2 linked regions of the Rattus norvegicus genome follow. The protein of the gene in region 1 interacts with the protein of each later gene in a pairwise test. Links are inferred from orthologs where the notes say so. Each region holds a gene or a part of one and is shown in the gene's direction. Other genes may lie near its edges. The genes, in order: Tnpo2 and Camk2d.

Region 1 (9,421 bases):
ATCTCTTGAGTTCAAGGCCAGCCTGGTCTGCACATTAAATTCTCAAAAGTCAGGGTGAAACAGGTGGGTGGGGGGATGCCCAAGGCCTAAGGTTTTATTCCCAGTACTGAGAAAATGAAACAAAAAACCTCCACCAAACAAAAATTAAGCAATTATAAAGTTAGAAAATAAGGGCTGGAGAGATGGCTCAGTGGTGAAGAGCATCTGACGCTCTTTCAGAGAACAAGTTTCATTCCTGGCACCCGTGTAGCCCTTTATGATTTCCTCTAACTTCAGCTCCTGGGTAGTTGAGTCCTCTTCTGCCCTCTGTGGGCACTTGCACATACCTTGCCCACTCAACAACACCCCTCGTACACTAAAGTAAAATAAATCAAGCGAGGGGGTGGAGTGAAGAAAGAGACAGAGATGGGGAGGGAGGGGGCACGAGATAAAAGTACAAGTGTAGAAGGTTTCAAGTTGAGAATCACTTCCTGTTTGAGTCTCATGACACCTACTTCTCTAAGTAGTCCTGCGATTTTGATTATTGAAGTGGGAGGTGGAGAGGTAGGGGTGTTTCCCTCCTTGATTATGCTGGCCTCCTGCCTTGAGTGCTAGTATTATAGGTTTGGGCTTGTGCCCAGCCAGAATTTGGACCACCTTCAGCTGCAATGTATCTGCCATGTCCCCATTTGCTCCTGCCTTTTATGGGCTCTTTGAAGAGCCTCAGTTTTTCCACCTATCATGTTGAGTTGGATATGCCCCAGCCTTCTTAAAAACCCTCCTGTCTCCTGGTAACTACAGGCTGCATGCAGGGAATGGTGCCCTATCTACCTGAGCTGATCCCACACCTCATCCAGTGCCTGTCAGACAAGAAGGCCCTAGTTCGCTCCATTGCCTGCTGGACGCTGAGCCGCTATGCCCACTGGGTAGTCAGCCAGCCACCTGACATGCACCTCAAGCCTCTGATGACGGAGCTGCTCAAACGTATCCTGGATGGCAATAAGAGGGTGCAGGAGGCAGCCTGCAGGTGAGCCCACTCCTGACCTCCGTCCTCACCCTGGGAAATGATGATGCCTATGACTGCTGACAAGACTCTGATCACTGTCGTATTCGTACTGGCTGATCCTGGATATACCTCCCTAGCTGCCCGTGTTAGCTGCTCCATCTGCTAGGCTCCATTAAACTCCCCTTCCTGTCTTCTCCCTGCCAGTGCGTTTGCTACCCTGGAGGAGGAGGCGTGCACGGAGCTGGTGCCCTACCTCAGCTACATCCTTGACACTCTCGTTTTTGCCTTTGGCAAATACCAGCATAAGAACCTGCTCATCCTCTACGATGCCATCGGCACCCTGGCTGACTCTGTGGGCCACCACCTCAATCAGCCAGTGAGAACCTGGACACACTCTGTCCTGTCCTGTGTCCCTTAACATCTGGTGTCTTGGTATTGACCTTGTTACATGCTGAGGACAGGGCCATGACAGGCAGGCTGAAGCACTTAGCCCTGTTCTTACTCTGCTTCCAGACTAGTGGGATGATCAAGCCAGCTGGGTCAGTCACCAGGTCCTCCAGGGAGGGAGCCAGGACCAAAAAGAAAAAAGACAATTAGACGACACCGTCGCACGACCCCAGCCAGTTCTGAGGTTGAGGCGGGTTTATTTTTCCCAGTCTGCTTTTACACCATTTTAAGTACATGCAAGTAATAAGGTCAGTTCTAGGTTAAGGAAGGAGCAAGGCAATAAACAAAGTCCTGTGATCGCTGCTTCTAGAGGCTCATCAGGATGGCCAAGATATCTGAGCCTCCTTCCCGGTGCTAGCCCAAAGTCATATTCTTGCCTGAAGCCCACTTCTTTGTCCTAGCCCAAAGTCAGATTCCTGTCTGCACTTACTTTCCTGTCCTGGCCCAAGGTCAAATTCCAGCCAAGTTTCTAGAGTCGGCACCAAAAGCTCTTTACAGTGGGAGGTGGACAGTTATGAGAGGCCAGGGCTGTGCTGGGAGAGCTCAAGGGTCTTTGGGTCCCAGGAGGCCCTACCCAGGTTCCTGGGAGTGAGCGGAAGGGACACGCAGATGAGAAGGATCAGGAGCACGGATCTTCCCTAAGGGATAAATAGCACTGACTGAGTAGGCTGCCCCTACCTCTCTCCAGGAATACATTCAGAAGCTGATGCCCCCACTGATCCAGAAGTGGAATGAACTCAAGGACGAAGACAAGGACCTCTTCCCCCTGCTGGAGGTGAGTGGGCTCAGGTCCTTCCTCGGAGCCCTCCCTCCTGGCCTGGGCTTACCTTTTCCCTTTTCCCTGCTAGTGCCTATCATCTGTGGCCACTGCCCTGCAGAGTGGCTTCCTGCCCTACTGTGAGCCTGTCTACCAGCGCTGTGTTACCCTGGTGCAGAAGACACTGGCCCAGGCCATGGTGAGCACCCTGGATCTCCTGACCACTTGTTCTACTGCCCAGGCCCTAGACTGCTTCCTCACCTGCCTCATTTGCATCTAGATGTACACACAGCACCCGGAACAGTATGAGGCCCCAGACAAGGACTTCATGATTGTTGCACTGGACCTGCTTAGTGGCTTGGCTGAGGGTCTGGGTGGCCATGTGGAACAGCTGGTAGCGAGAAGTAACATCATGACATTGCTCTTCCAGTGTATGCAGGTGAGTGGGTACCCAACATAAGCCACTCCCAAGTCAGGCCATACCTAAACAAGCCAACTTTTTTCTTTTTTTCTTTTTTTTTTTCCTTCTTTTTTCTTTTTTTCCGGAGCTGGGGACCGAACCCAGGGCCTTGCGCTTGCTAGGTAAGCGCTCTACCACTGAGCTAAATCCCCAACCCCCCTTTTTCTTTTTTTAAAGACAGGATTTCTCTGTATTTTCTGGCTGTCCTGGACCTTGCTATGTAATGTAGACCAGACTGGCCTCAGCAGAGATCTGCCTGTCTCTCTCCAATATGCTGGGATTAAAGGCATGAGTTACCACTGCCCAACTAACATCTAGTTTTATAAACAAATGAATAAATGTATGTTGGCTGGTTCCTAAGGAATAAAACCTGGATTTTTGCCTGCTCTTCCCCACACAGGTGTGCACTCATACTCTACCCACACATGGGTAGAACAGTAAAAAAAAATTTGTCAGACACTATAATGCAAATTGGTCTGCAAAATAAAGTACAGGCATCTGTGGGGTTTTTTGTTTGTTTGTTTGTTTTTTTTTTTTGTTTTTTTTTGTATCTGTGGTCTTAATCCCAGCACTTCCCCCCCCCCCCCCCCCCCCCGAGCTGGGGACGGAACCCAGGGCCTTGCGCTTGCTAGGCAAGTGCTCTACCACTGAGCTAAATCCCCAACCCCTAATCCCAGCACTTTAGATCTAGAGGCAGAGGCAGAGGCAGGCAGATTTCTGAGTTCCAGGCTCAACCAGGCTCTGTTGTGAGACCCTGTCTCAAAAAACAACAAAACAAAATACAGGTAATGGGAAGATGTAGGGAGATGGTCCAGTCAGTAAAGTAGTACCTGCCAGACAACAGGACCTGAACTTGATCTCCACCACCCATGTAAAAATTTGGGGTAGGTACTGAAGAGGTGACTTAGGTTAAGGGCATTTGCTGTTCTTCCAGAGAACCCGTTTGGTTCTGACCACTGCCTGCTTTAGCTTCCTAGGGGACCTGACTCCCTCTCCTAGACTCCAAGGATACCTATGAACATGTACAACTGTCTCACCCAGTGTGCACACGCATTTAAAGATGAAAATAAGTGGGTACAGCTTCACAGAGGAGTCTTTGATTCAAAGTACTGGGGAGGTAGAGGCAGGGAGGATCCCAGGGCTCTCTGGCCAGCTTGTCCAGCTGAGTTTTAGTGAGCTCAGGTTCAGAAAGAAACTATTCCTCAAAACTAAGATAGGGTGACTGAGGATGCACACGAGTGCCACAGTTAGGCCTGATGATGACTTTGATAGAGGCTTAAGTCAGAACATGGTAGTGCCTAGGTTGGCCAGGTCTGTGAAGCAAGACCCTGTCTCAGAGAAATTAAGAGTATATTTAATATAACTGTTATTTTGTGGTTTGGGGAGGGGGAATGGGGTGAGGATAAAACAGGGTTAGGGAGAAATTTAAAAGTAAATGCTTACTAGTGAACTTCACTCCCAGGTCCTGGAAAACAGGCTGTAGTGTAGTAGAAGGCCAATGGAGTAAGGGACTGTGTTTGTGGTCAGGATGTGCTCTAGGGTCTAAGCCACCTCAGATGGCTTAGATGGAAGGAGTCAAGGAGTCTGTCATTTGTGCAACCTTTCCCACCTCCAGGATTCCATGCCTGAGGTCCGGCAGAGTTCCTTTGCCCTTCTGGGAGACCTTACCAAAGCCTGCTTCATCCATGTCAAGCCCTGTATCGGTAGGCTACTTCCTTTGCCCCTATCCCATAACCCCAACGTTGGCCTCAAGTGATGGAGACATGACCCTGGGAGGCCCATGACCGAACTGTCTGTATTCGTACTGTCTGATGGGGTCTGCCCAGTCCAGTTCTGGGAGTGTGGCCTCATTGGCCTTTCTGCTCAATTTTTCTCCCTGCTCTTTTCTTTGCATTATTAGCTGAGTTCATGCCTATTCTGGGCACCAACCTGAATCCTGAGTTCATCTCTGTCTGCAACAATGCCACCTGGGCCATTGGGGAGATCTGCATGCAAATGGGTGAGTGCCCTGAAAGTGGCCTCTGCAGTGATCTGCTTCTCTGCAGCCAGAACTTTGCTTTGTTGGCTGGGGACGAACATGCTCTGATTTCCCTCACAGGTGAAGTCAAATCACTCAAGGGCCATGTATGAGGAGGGGTAGACAGTTTGTTCCTATTGGACCATCTCCTGTAATTGTTTTTCTGAAAGGTCCACTGGGATTAGTGACTTTGGCCTCCTGTCCTTAGGGAAGATTGGGTAGAGTGATCTTGTCACCTTTTGGGTAGTGGCCTCAGAGACTCATTGGGTGGTTATTCTGTGCTGGCTGTGGACTTGGTGGGGAGTATCCCGAGGGGGGGCCTTTGCTCTCTCAGGCTTTGTGGTGCACCGGCCAGTCTGAATGTAACTGGGCTCTTGGAGTGAAGTCAGCCATACCCAGCTGGCGGGTGCTCTGTGGGTGGAGTGGGCAATGCAGGGCTCTGAATGGCTGGTCTCTAGGGGCAGAGATGCAGCCCTATGTGCAGATGGTCCTCAGCAATCTGGTGGAGATCATTAACAGGCCCAACACGCCCAAGACACTGCTGGAAAACACAGGTGAGTACCAGGCAGGGCTGAGAGGGCATAGTTCCAGGAAGGGTGCTAACACCTGAATAGGACTCAGGAGGAACCCAAGGAACAACACTGGCTTTAGAATATATGGATGGGAAGAGATCCAGGCTGGGTGGGGAGGACACCTATGGGCCAAACTCAAGGGCCCAGGATAGCCACAGGATCGTTCAGTTGGGGCCTGTGGGGCGGGGCTCGGTGCCTCCTGTCAGAGGCCCCGCCACGTACCGTCCCGGGGCCACTCGGGGTTGCAGGTCGCCTGACGAGTCCCTCTGCCATTCCAGCCATCACCATCGGCCGCCTGGGCTACGTGTGCCCACAGGAGGTGGCACCCATGCTGCAGCAGTTCATCCGGCCTTGGTGTGTGCCTGCCTGGGTGGGACCTGTTGGGGGTGGGCAGGACAGCTGTATCCCCCAGCGCCACCCCCATGGATGCATGTGGGAGACCTCTACCCACTGACACCCACCCCGTCCTATACCCTCCATTCATCCTTCATCTGTGCTTGTCCAGCCCCAAGTCCATCCACTGACCTGCTGCCCTCCTCCATGGCCAGGTGCACGTCCCTTAGGAACATCCGGGACAACGAGGAGAAGGATTCTGCCTTCCGAGGCATCTGCATGATGATTGGTGTCAATCCTGGGGGTGTTGTGCAGGTCCGGGCAGTGGGGCTCAGAGGGCAGGGAGGGGGCTGGCTTGGGCGGCCCCTCACATGGGATCCATCATGTTTCAGGACTTTATTTTCTTCTGCGATGCTGTAGCCTCCTGGGTGAGCCCGAAGGATGACCTTCGGGACATGTTTTATAAGGTGAGGCTCCTGGTGGTCTCATGGGAGTCCTGGGTAATGGGCACCACAGGCTTGCCCCAGCCCACTGTAACCCTGCCTCACTGCAGATCCTCCATGGCTTCAAAGACCAAGTTGGGGAGGAGAACTGGCAACAGTTCTCAGAGCAGTTCCCACCTCTGCTCAAGGAGAGGCTGGCAGCCTTCTATGGGGTCTAGGTGAACGTGGAGACCACCAGGTGAGCAGGTCTTTCAGCCCTTGGGCCTATCGGAGAGTGAAAAGAACGAGACCCTGAACCCTCCCTTTCCCCTACAGGTTTTTGTCTGCGTCATCGTCGGAGGGTGTGCTGGGGAATGTGCTGCTTCCAGAAGTCACTGTGCCCTGGTCGAGGGGGGTTAGGGAGGAGTGAGTGGGACCTAAATCCAGGTGCAACCCAGTCTGTGCACCTGTCCATCTGTCGGTCCACTTGCCCCACCGGGCCTGATGAGTGGGCAGGTGGGTGGGGACTCCATTCTCATCCTACAAATAGGGAGGGGGGTGGGACTTCTTGGTGGGCAAGAGTTCTCTGGGCTCTAATCTGGGTCATCTCGGGCAGCTCACTTGGGCCAGCCATGTGGGAGGGAGGAATCCATAAGGCCTACCGAATCCGGTGTCAGATAAGGCAAGGGAATTACAGGTGGGGAGGGGGGTTCCTTGTAGAGAAGCATACACTCACATGTACACATGTGGACACACGCATGTGCGGGCTCCATAGCCAGCTAGGCTGGGCCAACCGCCCCACCATTTCCTCGACTGCATGGAGACAGTAGAATTAGTGAACCCCCAAATTATGCCTATGGCCTTCTGTGTACCTTGCATCTAGAGTATAAGAAGCTTCTGCTGTTTTGCCAGAATTGGTGGTAATGGGGAGGGCTGGGGGGTTTGGGGGACCTCAGCTGGGCTCCCAGGGCCAAGGGAGGAGGGTGGTCATCTGGGGGCTGCCTTCTCAGCACTGGCTCACTTTGGACCTGCTCCATACACTTCCTGCCAGCTTCATGGCAGCCTCATGTAGTGTGTCCCCATCGTTGTCACATCCTAGCCAGCAGCAGAGTGGGGACCGTCGGAGCAGCTGAGACTGGCTTGAGGCTACCCTGTACCCTTTTCCTGTGCTCCAAGGGTATTTAAAGTCATAGTCCTGGGACTAGTTTTCCTTGCGAAAGCTAAGGGCTGTTGGCTGCCAGGGCTGCTTTCCTGGATCTCTTGAAACAGCTTTAAGGATAGTCCAGTTCTCTGCTCCTGAGAACCCCATTCTCCAGAGCTGGGGCAACAGAATGTGCTTGGTGAGAACAAAGGACAGAAGTTTACTGGGTCTAGCAAGATTTGAAGGCTTGGAGGAGGAGCAGGGTGTACCCAGGGCCTCAAACTTTGTCCCTTTTGGGACTTAGGATTATCACAGTGTCACTGTCACTGGACTCAGACCACACCAAATTGGTATACTGACTCTAAAACTCTTTGAAGAAATTGGTTGGGGATGCCATCTAGGTGGGAGGGGCTTCCCGAGAGAAGAGGGGCATGATTATTTCCAAATTAGCTATGGAAATCAGTCTTGTAAGATCCCTGAAAATTTTCCTCCGTCCCCTTCTTTGCTTCCTACGTTTTTGGGAGCCCATTATATTTTGGGCTTTGACTGGAGTTCTGCATATTAGGGCCTGCCTGCTCCATCATCCCTCTAAGGACCTGGACCGTATTCCATCCAGGCCTTGTATCTTTTCTCAAGTAGGGTCAGGCCCTGCCTCTATTCCCAGGGACACTTAGTGCACATTCCATAACTCAGCTAGTGGTCCCCATTCCCTCCAGCCTGAAACTTGAGCAGGTCTCTGGAAGTCATTTGTAGGAAAAAAATTTTTTAAAGAAAAATACCATTAGCTTTCTGGTAATTCCACTTCTTAGGAGCATCCTCTGCTGGGTCTTGGGGTGTATTGATGGATTGACTGTCTGATGTAGTTGTGACCCCTCTTTGTCCAAGGGGGTTGTTCCAGCTACCTTCAGGAAAAGGGAGCCCGATTCTTGTATTTCCCTTTTTTTATTTTATTTTATTTTATTATTTTTTAAAGAAATTATTTAATTTTTTAATTTATTTTTTAGTTGGTTTTTGCACAATGAAGTTTCAGTTTCTTCACCTTCCTTGTCCAGGGCTGCGACATGGACTGACCTTGATCTGTAGCCCTCCCTGCTGCCATTACCCCGAGTCTTTTATTACCATTACCCCATGGGCTCCCAGGTCTATCCATCTGTTACTGTGCTGTGCTGGGGACTAGCGCCTAGGTGGCGTGAGATTCCACTCGTGTAGAACTTTGTTGAGTAAAGGTCAGTTTCTTGTGAAACCCTTGTTGTCTCATTTCCTAGTCCTTGGCTTTGGTAGAGTGGTGTGGAGGTGGAAGGTAGAGAATACCTCAGAGCACCTGCTTTCTCTTGGCTTCTGAGGGTGAGCACACGCAAGTGGAGATGCACAGCTGCTCCTGGTGGTCTGCCTGACTGAGGCAGGAGGATGTCAAGTTTGAAATCCACCTGGGCTGGTTGCTATGTCTCAAAAAGTGTAGATGATTTATGAAGTTAAATTGAGGCTAGTGGTAGCTAGTTTAGCTAGATATATAGGTCTCACTTTTATTCCCAGAACTTGAAAAAGTAAATCAAGTGACCAAGGAAGCTTCCTCTGTTTCTGTTTCCATCCTAGTAAGGTGGGAAGGTGAATGTGAAAGTGATTAGAAATGGTAGGTGTCCTCCTTGACAGTTAACAACCCAGGAAAGGGCTACTGTACAGTAAACTCATTTACAAAGCCTTGCTGCAGACATAACACAGTTTTAGGTCACTGGGCAAGCTTGAAGTTTTTTTGAGATCTTAAAGAACAACAGGCCAGGCTGAGTGGTGATGATGGTGATTGTTTTTAGTGCCAGCAGTGGGGATTAAAGTGAGGAGGTAGAGGTAGGTGGATTTCTGAATTAAAAAACCACCCTGGCCTACAGAGTGAGTTTCAGGCGAGCCAGGACTATACAGAGAACCCCTGTTCTTGGGGAAAGAAAAATGCAGAATGAGACTGTATGGTTGTAGTTCAGCTACCGGAAGATGGAAGCAGGATGACTAAATCAAAATCTGTAAAATTCTCAGGAGAAAAGTATTTTATGTCAGGTTACGTTGGTTTACACCTTTAATCCAGCATTTGAAAGGCAAACTTCGTGAGTTTAAGGCTAGCCTGGTCTAAATAATGACCAGGTTTAAATAGAGATCAGGTCAAGCTACATGATGATATCCTAAACTTAGAAACAACAAAAAAAGCTCACTTCTGAATTCTACATGGCAGTACTGGGGAGCTGTGACACTGTAGACATAAGATTATCCTGGCCCACTGTAGTCCTTAACCATCTATTGC
Region 2 (10,003 bases), on another chromosome or scaffold:
CCTGGAAGTTAGGATAACCAGTGTTCCCAGGCAACAATCACTCATATTTGGCTCCAGAGTAAACTCTTGTACCCTTTTGAGGTAAGTGCTGTGTTTCCTGGAAGGTTTGTCTGAAGAAAAATCAGTGGATGACCACCACGTACGTTAGATTCTTGTCCATTCTGAGTGAGAATACTAAAGTTTTGAAACTTTTAACTCCAAGTAGCAAAATAAGAGAAGAGGAAGAAAGCGCTCAGTGCTTACACCCACTGGCCACCCCTACGCTCCTTGACTGTAAATCTTTGCTTGCCCTCTTTTGAGTCGGAGTTGAGAAGATTAGGTTACAAATGTCCCCATCACCACAGTCCGGTTTGAATAAAATCCGTCTTACCATTTTAAACAAGTTTCATGAATAATTTTTAAGAACCCCCCCTCCTTTCTTTATTACTCTTCCATTCCTCTTGGTTCACTGGAATAGTCAGGTAAAGACCCTTGATTAAAGGTTAAACCTTTAACACTAAATTCGAGCCATTCTGTTTATAAGTATGCCTTTTAAAAATTTGACTATTTCATAGCTATTCCTAGACTGATGAAATAGAATTTAAAAAAATGTAATCAATCTGATTATTATCTGAAGGAGGTCTTAAATCAAGAAATAACTGAATATTTTTAAATAAAAGAAATAGTTTATTGAGAATACAATACAGATCAAACAACAGAGCAGTGTATATTAAAAACTATTTGTTTAAAGGCATAACAATTTACGAGGTTATTGTCTACAAATACTAACTTGATAATGATACATCAAATGCAGTTACTTTTTTATTATACTCAAAATTATTCTAACCATTTACAGTTACCGTTATTTTTAAACACCTGAGGTAAATACTGTAATTATGTAGTATTGCATTGGTATTTAAAGAACACTTTTCTTCCTAGTTGTAAAAAGATTATTATGCTCATTTTTAAAAATTTTATTTTTGTTTTTGCTTTTGGACTTAAAAAAGAATATTAAATTACTCCACTATAACAGAGAGCCATATATTTAAGCTATATATTAAAAAGGTTTAGTCAAGACCAAATTATTCCTTTCAACTTTTAGCTTGGTTATTAATACTTAAACACTACTTTTTTTCTCCTTTTAACTTTTTAGTATCATCCTTTTTTCTTTGTCAGTAGATTTATACCCGGTAACCTTTGCCTTTTATGGCCAGGATTTAAGACCTGAATGCATTTCAATTTTGTGATTAAAATTGTTCAAATTTAGTCAGGCATGCCCTTAGTCACAGGCTGGGGAGGCAGAAGCAGTAGATCTCTGAGTTCGAGGCCCACCCCGGTTTACATAGTGAGTTCCACACCATTTAAGGATACAGACTGAGACCCTGTCCCAATCAAATAAAAACGTTCAAATTTAACGACATAAAAGACAATATTTGCTTTAAAAACAAAAATGAATTGAAGCTACATAAAAACCACAGAGAATTTGCAGGAGGTTCCAAGGGTCTTCCACAATGACAATTGAACAGCAGAGGTCTCCAGGTAGAAACCACATGACAACAAGCCAGTTGTGCAGGCAGATCCCCTGTGCTGGGTAACATCAAAAATCCGCACTAGGAATCTAATGCGTGGGAAGAATGTCAAACGATGTATGTAAAATTGAAGGGAAAATTATAGTCAAACAGACCAGTAAATGACATTTTCCAGGGTAAAAACAATGCAGACATTGAATGATGACTAAATACAAGAAGTATTTTCTTGTGGTGTTGAGTGGGAGAGGGCTATTAGAATTGTGAGCAATATTTGCAAAACCTCTAACAAAAAAAGCATTTAAAAATTTTATGACCATCTTGAGCACTTCAGTTCAAAGGCACTCATAGCACTCTTTAGAATTGGAAATAAAAAAACAAAACAAAACCGGGAACAGCCCTGACAGTGGGCAAGGTAATGAATTAATAGCCGCCCAGGAAAAGCAACCAAAAGCCTGTAAGAGCTCCCCTAACTGAAAGTGATCTATCATCTTCCCGCTGTGGAATTTTAAGTCCATGACGTGATCCTTCTAAGGATGAGCAAATAAGCAATAGAAGTGAAGGATTTTATGGTTTCCTGCTATAGAACAAAAAGCAACAATCTGAAGAAAAAAATTAAAAAAAAACTTCATGATGTTTCTATTTTCCATAGTCCTCTAAATCTGCAATTGCCTCGTTTATTAAAGACTGGGAACTGGAAAGAAGGCCCCGAAGTGATCTTAGCAGCCAGTTACAACTTACCTACCTTACATGCTAATTTTTTTCTCCATGCTCACTTTTAAGCAACTGTGTCACATATGTTTAATTGTAGGCCACGCTCTTGAACTCTTAAATGGTTTTTCAGATAGCCCTTGAGGGAGTACATTCCTGTGCCCCTACCTGACCAGCTCTTTGAGACTGCAAGCAAAGAACTTGTGACCTCCCTCTCCCTTTCCTTCTCCCTCTGCAAAGAGAAACAGGCTAGACACGCTCACGTGACGCTAATGACGTCAGCCCCATTCTGGGTCGCGTGACCCGCAGCCAACCTTCCTAACGCCCCACCCCCTTGCCACCAACAGTGGGACATCTCGCGAGAGCCCTTCTTACTATCAGAACTTGCTGAGGTTACAGGGGAGTTACTCTGGAGAGGAAGGAAGGTGTGGCAGCGTGGTGCACTTCTTGCTTTCATTATGTTAGGCTTTATGGCCAAGCAAATGCTTTTGGGGATCGCCCTAGTTGGGAAAACAACGGGAGAGGAGGGCGAAGAGGTGAAAGTAAAAACTGAATCGAAACGTGGTGCCCTGACCATCCTTGCTCCTAGCTAAGGGACGGCCAGGCGAAGCAGAGGTGGCCAGGGCTGGCAGCCCCCGGTAGTCACTGTGAGCCGGGAGACGTAGGGCTGGGGTCTGGGAGCAGTAAACACGAACCGCGCCCAGATGCAAGGGTTGCATCCCGCTCTCGGTTTCCCCGGCATCACGGCCATCACTGCCGGGGTAGAGACATCCCGGGTGTGGGAGCTGCGAGTTGTCCCTCATCTTTCCGTCCCTTCGTGGGTCACTGCGACATCTCTGTCCCGTCCCCTTAAGCGCGCTCCCCGGGGCTCTGCACATCTCCTCCCTCCGGTCTCCTTAGACGGCTGCGGGAGAGCAGCCCGGAGGGACGCGGCTGGAGTCGCTAGAGGGAGGTGTGGGGCTGGCGAGGAGGGGGCTTCGCTGGGCGGGGAGAGGCGGGAGGAGGCGCCGGGGAGGAGCCGCGGCTGCCAGATTCGCCTGAGCCGAGTGAGCGCACTCTGTCGCCCGCAGGTTCCCAGCCTTGCGGCCCCGTGGGGAGAGAGCGCAGGCCACCAGCGCCGCCTCCGCCCGCAGGAGCGACCCCTTGGGTGTTCACTCTTGGCCACTGCCGCCCGCCACCCCGGGCGCTACGTTGAGCTCTCCGTGCGGCCTCGGTGACCGCGGCAGCCCCTCCTGACACCTCCCCCCCGCCCCTTCGGGAGCGCTCGCCCGGCGGGAGGAGGAGGAAGAAGGATCGCGGCTCGGGCTGGTCTGGCCACCTCGCCCCGCGCGCCCCGCCCCTGCGCGCACTCCCTCGCCGGCGAGCTACTTTCGGACAAGGAAAGTGAGGGCGGCCCCGGGTGACAGCGCGGCGGTGCCAGTCCCGGGAAGCCGCGTCTGTTCGCGTGTCGCCCGTCGCACTGTCCAGACCCCGCCATGGCTTCGACCACCACCTGCACCCGGTTCACCGACGAGTATCAGCTCTTCGAGGAGCTCGGAAAGTAAGCGTCCCTGCCTGGCACCTCCTCCCCGCGACCCCTCGTCTCCCCCGTGGGGACAGGGAGCCCGCGGGCCGAGGCGGGGTGACGGACCATGGCTTGGTGCGGGTGGGGCACAGTGGGGAGAAACCTTTGCCCTAGTGTGGCGGGTGCCCCGAATCCCCAGCTCATCTCCTCGGGTCCTCCACCTCTCCACTGGAGACTTAGTGAATTTACGATCTCTGCAGTTGTAGCTGTCATCCTGAGAAGTGTGCGCGCACGCGAGTGTGAATGTGTGTGTGTGTTCGGGGAGGAAAGGAGATTGCATGTAAAATGCAACATTTATCACCTTTTCTGTAGATGTCTTTTGCTCAGCCCGCGGTGTATCTGCGGTCTGATACAGGTTAGGATGAGCTAATGAGCATTAGTTCTCAGAGATGGTGCCTTGTTTATCGATGCCGAAAGTTCAACTTGGTTTGGTGGAGAGTCTGGTTCGGCATCCAAAGTAGTTGTTCCGTCCAGGAAAAGGCCACCCAACAGAACCCACGTCCCTGCCCTGTATCCGCTATCCTTCTTTGCACTAAGGTGACTCGCTCACCATCATTCTAGGATTTACGTGTACCTCGGTTCTGAGAGGATTTATTTATCTAGGCAGAGAGAAAAGCCCTGGAGCCCGAGAGAGCGCTTCCCCAGGGTAGCCTAGCCTTTGAAAAAGGACCTCCTCCACCGAAGTGCCAGAAGTACTTTGAGATGTTAAAGAGGGACTGGGTACCTACTGAAGATCGTACAGGGACAACCAGAGACCCAGTCGGGAGTGTTGGTAACAAGCATCAAATCCCAAACCAGTCCTTCTATCGCTAATTTCCACTATCAGGGAAAGGATGCATTTGTGTGTGTGTGTGTGTGTGTGTGTGTGTGTGTGTGTGTGTGTGTGTGTTGTAGGTTTTTAGTACAGTTGCATACAAGGAAGTGTGAGCATTTTTTAAATCAAACGAAAATGATATCTTTATAGATGATCAGCTGTTGAAACATGCAGACATGTCGGGAGAGCAGCTTAATTCAAATCTCTCCCCTCCCCCAGCCCAAACCAGGCAGAGAGAAATCACCTTAGCCCAGGACCTGTTAAAGCACACCAGTGAGCTCGAGATTTATGTTTTAATGAAAACAATCGCCATATTTACTTCACTTGGAACCACGTTAATTGTGTTTTCTACCGAAATAAACATGCAGCAGTTTTTTTTTTCTTCTGTTCCCGGTCTCTGCTTTTTGCAGGGTTTGCCATGAGCATTTGGTGTTTTATGAGTGTGAATTATAAATTGTTTTCAAATTTCATGTGCAAACAAGAGTGGTTATAATTGGCATGTCCTTCTATTTTGTTGATTAATAATCTGTTTGTTTCCAGTCAATTAAAAATTACTTTTATTCCACAACATTAGAAAGGATCTGGTTCGGCAGGGAAGATTCGTTCATTTCCTAGATGATGCTTTTTTATTATATTGATACTTGACAGATCGCTAAAGACTCATCAAACTGCTCAGATTTGTGAGTTTGCAAGTGGATACTGGATCTGATTATACTGATGATTGCTAATTACTGCTTTCCAGGGGGGCATTCTCAGTGGTGAGAAGATGCATGAAAATCCCTACTGGACAAGAGTATGCTGCCAAAATTATCAACACCAAAAAGCTTTCTGCTAGGGGTGGGTATTTTAAACCGCACTTATTTATATATGTTAATTTCGTATTTGCTGTGTGAGTCGTTGGTGTCTTTCTTTAACTATAGCATGGAATTATAATTGAATTTTAGACTTAGGCATCATATTACATGCTCATCTTTGCCAAAGGCCTCGTGGTCTGTTTACTTTGTGAGTTAAGTGAAAGATATAATTGTTATCAATGAGTTATCGAAATGCAGTAATATAATAAATGTGTTGCAAAGCAAATAAATGTCATGAGGGGCCTTGCTGAGATCCTTTCAGAAGGATCTTAGGTTGAAAAAAAAAAAGGCAAGTCTCCTAACTGTCATAATTGCCTTTCACTTTTGAGACAAAAAAAAAAAAATGGGTCATGGTTCAGTTGAATGTATATCACAGGTGTAGTTACAGCTGAACGTAATACATCGAGGTATATTTAACTTCAGTGGCCTTGGGAAGTGGGGAGAGATGGTTGTTGTAATCTAGGAAGTTACCTTGGTTTTGCTATGTGTACGCTAGGCCTTTTCTTGGTCTCCTGAATTCAACTTCCCACCAGATCATGCACTCTATTGTAAACCTTCAGCTTACAGCCACACAGATACTTCATCCTGAAGGCTGTTGACATAAGTTACAACAACAACACGGAGCCCACATTATGTGCCCACATTATGATGACTGCGATTATGATTATTTTGTCTAGAATCAAACAAAATAACATATGCCGAGATTCTGGCATTGCACTGACTGAGGTGTCTACGGCATTTCCGAGGGAATTTATGGTTTGATGGAATTAAACTGGAATCAAAAGAAACAGAATACCATAGTGCAGACCCATCTCAGTGACCTGGTTTATTTTAAGTACGAGAGGAAATTCCATTAGACTTACTTTTCCTCACCGAATGTATCTTTTAAGACATGCCACCTAAGGATGCCGGGGCACCATCCCCTTCGCTCCGGTAAATGGATTTTCAAACTCTACTTTGAAGATGGACTCTAGGTTTCAGCTTATTTCTTCAGTCGGATAGAGTTCCACTGTCATTTTCTTCGTCTGATTTGCTGTTGTTCTGAGAAAGAGCTATGTATGTAAACTGACCAGGAACCCCACGATGTCGTGGCATGAAAACGAATGAGGAGCGTGTTATGCTAATTACATCTGCCTTTCGAGCCTCCACTCCATCGGAAGGTTTTGGGTTTTTTTAAGAATCGCAAGGGGAGGCAGAAGCATAAATGCCAGTTTAAGGGAAAGACTGAAAACATCGAGTCAGGTTTTTCCCAGTGATTGTTATTTCTTCCAGTGTGATAGATTGGCAATGGTGGGCTGGCAGGTTTTTTGGGGAGAGGGCAGGGGTATTACCATGCCTTTCAGGTCCTTTAATGGCTTAAGTTTCTTCTCAGAGCAAATGAATTGGATACTTCACTCTTTCTTAATGAGAGTCATCACTTTGTATCCATTTCGTCTCATGCTCTTTTTATCAGACTGGGGGCGTAGCTGTCTCTGCTCCTTCTCTTCTCCTCCATGAGAGATGACCACACTGACCTGATTGGCTTCCAGCACTTTCTTCTCCCTAAGCCTCTACAGGTCACGTCCTGTCTCACGGGACATTCTGGTTGTCTTCCTTTGCTATTTTCGGTTATTTATTTATTTATTATTATTTTTAGGTGTGTGTGTGTGTGTGTGTGTGTGTGTGTTCAGGTGCTCTTGGAGACCAGAGATTTCCCCATAGTGGTAAGCCCTCAGGTGTGGGTAGTGAGAACTGAGCTCTTCTATCCTGCAAGAGCAAGGATATCCCTGATTTGTTGAGCTATGGCTCCAGCTTCTTTCTCTGTTCTATATCCACCCCCCCACTAATATAGAATATTTCTGTCCTAGAGTGATAAGCTTTGGCTTTTAGTCCTGATTTCTGTACCTGCTAGCTAGGTGACCTTAAGCAGTGTACTCATTTTAATCTGAACCTCAATCTTTTCATCTGTAAAATGGGTTGAGGTAGAATCCTTCCTTGTGTCGGTTTGATGAATCTGTTTGGCTTCATGTAGAGTGCAGAGAAGAGCCTACTACAGAGTGTATTCATAGTGAATATCAGCTTCCATATTATATGATGGGAATGTGGTGATAATCAAATTGCACATTACTTGATGTAAAAGGTCTTACTTAATATGAAAGCATGTGCAAATTGTAGACTAGTGACAGTTCCGATGTGACCCAATTCAAATAGTGGTTCAGACCCTAGGTGCATAAAATCGATCCAATTTTATACTTTCCTAAGATCTCAGATTCTTCGTCAATCAAATGGTAAGACTTATGCCATGAGTCTCATGAGGTGTCTTGCCAGTTTTACTTACTGAAAATGTACTTACTACAACTATATGCAAAGAGTATGGTATTTCCTACAAAATGCTCAGCACCGTTAGTTTATATCAACACACAGTTAGAGATGGTTATTGTGGAATAGCTTTATTTTGTAGTGTATACATTTGTTTCAGTTGTACCCGTATTGAATTACAAATTATCTGAAGGAAAGTCTGTGCTTTCAGCTTTGATGTAACACAGGTAGACAGCACTGAGAACACTGAGGGGCTTCCAGACAGAGCGCCTGGGTAAAATGTGGTCACCTGTAAAGTAGTTACGTGCTTTGTTTCTTGCTGAGAACAAGCACATGCTGAAATTTATGAAGTATATTTAGAGACTGTATTTTAAAGTATAAATTTTGGAAGCTGGAGAGATGGGATAGCAGTTAAGAACACTTGCTGATCTTGCAGAAGACCCAGGGTTTGGTTCCCAGCGCTCACGTGGCTAAGAACTGTCTACAACTCCAGTTTCAGAAGATCTGAGGCCCTCTACTGACCTTGATGAGTATCGCATGCATGTGGTAAAACTTACATGCAAGAAAATCATATACACACATGAAATAAAAATGAGTAAATACTAAAAAATATATAATTTAAGTTTGCTTGTAATAACATTTCTTTTACAATAATCTAGTCTGAAGTTTTTTTTTTGCAGGAACATTTTAATTTTTGTATTTCTTTTAAATTTTATTTTATTTTTTACACCCCACTCACTGGCTCCCTCCTGGTCACCCCTCCCACAATCCTTACCCCATTTCCCCTCCCCTTCTCCTCTAATCAGATGGGAGCCCCTCTGGGTATCCCCCAACCCTGGTACTTGAAGTCTTGGGGAAGATAGGCGCTTCCTTTCCTACTGAGCTCAGACAAGGCAGCCCAGCTAGAAGAACATATCCCATGTACAGGCAACAGCTTTTGAGATAGCTCTCCTATAGGAACATTTTATAATGAGAAACATTCAAAGATAAATATAGAGTCCAATGCAATATAGTATGTTTAACCCCCCCCCACCCCCACCCCCCCAGTAATCTTTTGGAGCTCCGACGACACTTTTGGAGAGTGGAAAATTTTTGTGCAAACTTTTGTCTATATTATTTGACATGACACACCTTTGTAAATCCAATCCTTAAGGCTATGCATTTCAAAGACAAGGAAATTTCTACTGCTCAATTTTTTCTTTTAAATCCTCTTTGTGCTGGGAATTTAACCTGGGACCTCACACATGCTAAACACACTACCTCAAACACACTACCCTTTCACTGTCTTATCTGCCCTCAGCTAATGTTCTCTAGTTGTAACAGACAAAAAGATAAAGTGCATTTGTTAGCGAACCCTGGGCCAGGATGGGAACTGGCAAACATTTGGCTGGATTCCTGCAAAGATTTGCATCTCTCTGCTGTCACTCAGGGTGTTTGCTGCGCCTAGACTGTAACAGGCTCTCCACAGAACAGACAGCTTTGGCTGCGTTCGCTGTCACTGGTGGGCACACACACCGTATCTGGGAAACTCAGAGTCTGTTGAAGAATTTCGCTGTCTTCATCTGCGTATGCACGCAGAACATTCTCTATTTGTGTTGCTAAGCCTGTAAGTTAGTAGTTGTTAATTTTTTTTTTTTTTTTGCAAACCGTCCTAAGGGTGGCCAACGTTTGATATCGTGTATCTAATTATGAGTTCTGGAAACCTGTTTTAATTAGACATGCTTAGAAAGGAGTGAGGAGGGGCGGTGGAGTGTGTCTCGTGTGTTCATTGTAGGTATTAGTCTATCATTTCGATTCAGAAGATTAGGTTAGGCAGTATCCATCAAATGCTAACTTGTTCCAGCATCGGTCTATGTTTTGTTTATCATCTAGGCCTGGTTAGAGCAGTTAGCTCTCACTAGGTGATGTGAAGACAGCAGTAAGCTGGTGGCCCTCAGAAACAGCTCATGTGGTAGATGGTGCATTCTAAAACTTCTCAGTAGGGGTGATGACTTCTTTATGCTGTGTGTTTTCATCCTTAGAAAGCCTTTATTACTACTCTACCTGGCATGCCTAAGTTACTGTTTTTGTAGAAGAAAAATTAATTATAAGCTTGAAATAAACATGCGATATGAGTTTATTTTTACATTTACTTCATTGCTGAATTTAGCAAGCTATTATTCCTGTAACACAGTAAATCATTTTAATTTTATTATGCTGATTTTGTTTATTCCTAATTTCATAATGTTAGTAGAGCACAAGGTAGAAGCTTAGAAGG

What was found.
Region 2: the proteins of Tnpo2 (region 1) and Camk2d interact in binary tests that used the Homo sapiens proteins (3 or more experiments, as listed by UniProt). The two-hybrid records come from large-scale screens. The link is inferred for Rattus norvegicus from reciprocal best matches to the Homo sapiens genes TNPO2 and CAMK2D.

The regions. Positions count from the first base shown.
Region 1 is NC_086037.1:40,003,227-40,012,647, reverse strand, and holds the end of Tnpo2 (transportin-2), read left to right. Parts: intron 1-780; coding exon 781-1,006; intron 1,007-1,037; exon of another isoform or gene 1,038-1,107; intron 1,108-1,189; coding exon 1,190-1,361; intron 1,362-2,120; coding exon 2,121-2,207; intron 2,208-2,280; coding exon 2,281-2,388; intron 2,389-2,469; coding exon 2,470-2,628; intron 2,629-4,264; coding exon 4,265-4,352; intron 4,353-4,393; exon of another isoform or gene 4,394-4,468; intron 4,469-4,549; coding exon 4,550-4,648; intron 4,649-5,124; coding exon 5,125-5,220; intron 5,221-5,486; coding exon of another isoform or gene 5,487-5,516; coding exon 5,517-5,592; intron 5,593-5,786; coding exon 5,787-5,886; intron 5,887-5,963; coding exon 5,964-6,038; intron 6,039-6,124; coding exon 6,125-6,226; coding exon of another isoform or gene 6,227-6,232; exon of another isoform or gene 6,233-6,252; intron 6,253-6,329; coding exon 6,330-6,413; 3' UTR 6,414-8,373; downstream 8,374-9,421. UniProt on the Homo sapiens protein: Probably functions in nuclear protein import as nuclear transport receptor. Serves as receptor for nuclear localization signals (NLS) in cargo substrates.
Region 2 is NC_086020.1:217,695,082-217,705,084, forward strand, and holds the start of Camk2d (calcium/calmodulin-dependent protein kinase type II subunit delta), read left to right. Parts: upstream 1-3,469; 5' UTR 3,470-3,691; coding exon 3,692-3,756; intron 3,757-5,336; coding exon 5,337-5,431; intron 5,432-10,003. UniProt on the Homo sapiens protein: Calcium/calmodulin-dependent protein kinase involved in the regulation of Ca(2+) homeostatis and excitation-contraction coupling (ECC) in heart by targeting ion channels, transporters and accessory proteins involved in Ca(2+) influx into the myocyte, Ca(2+) release from the sarcoplasmic reticulum (SR), SR Ca(2+) uptake and Na(+) and K(+) channel transport.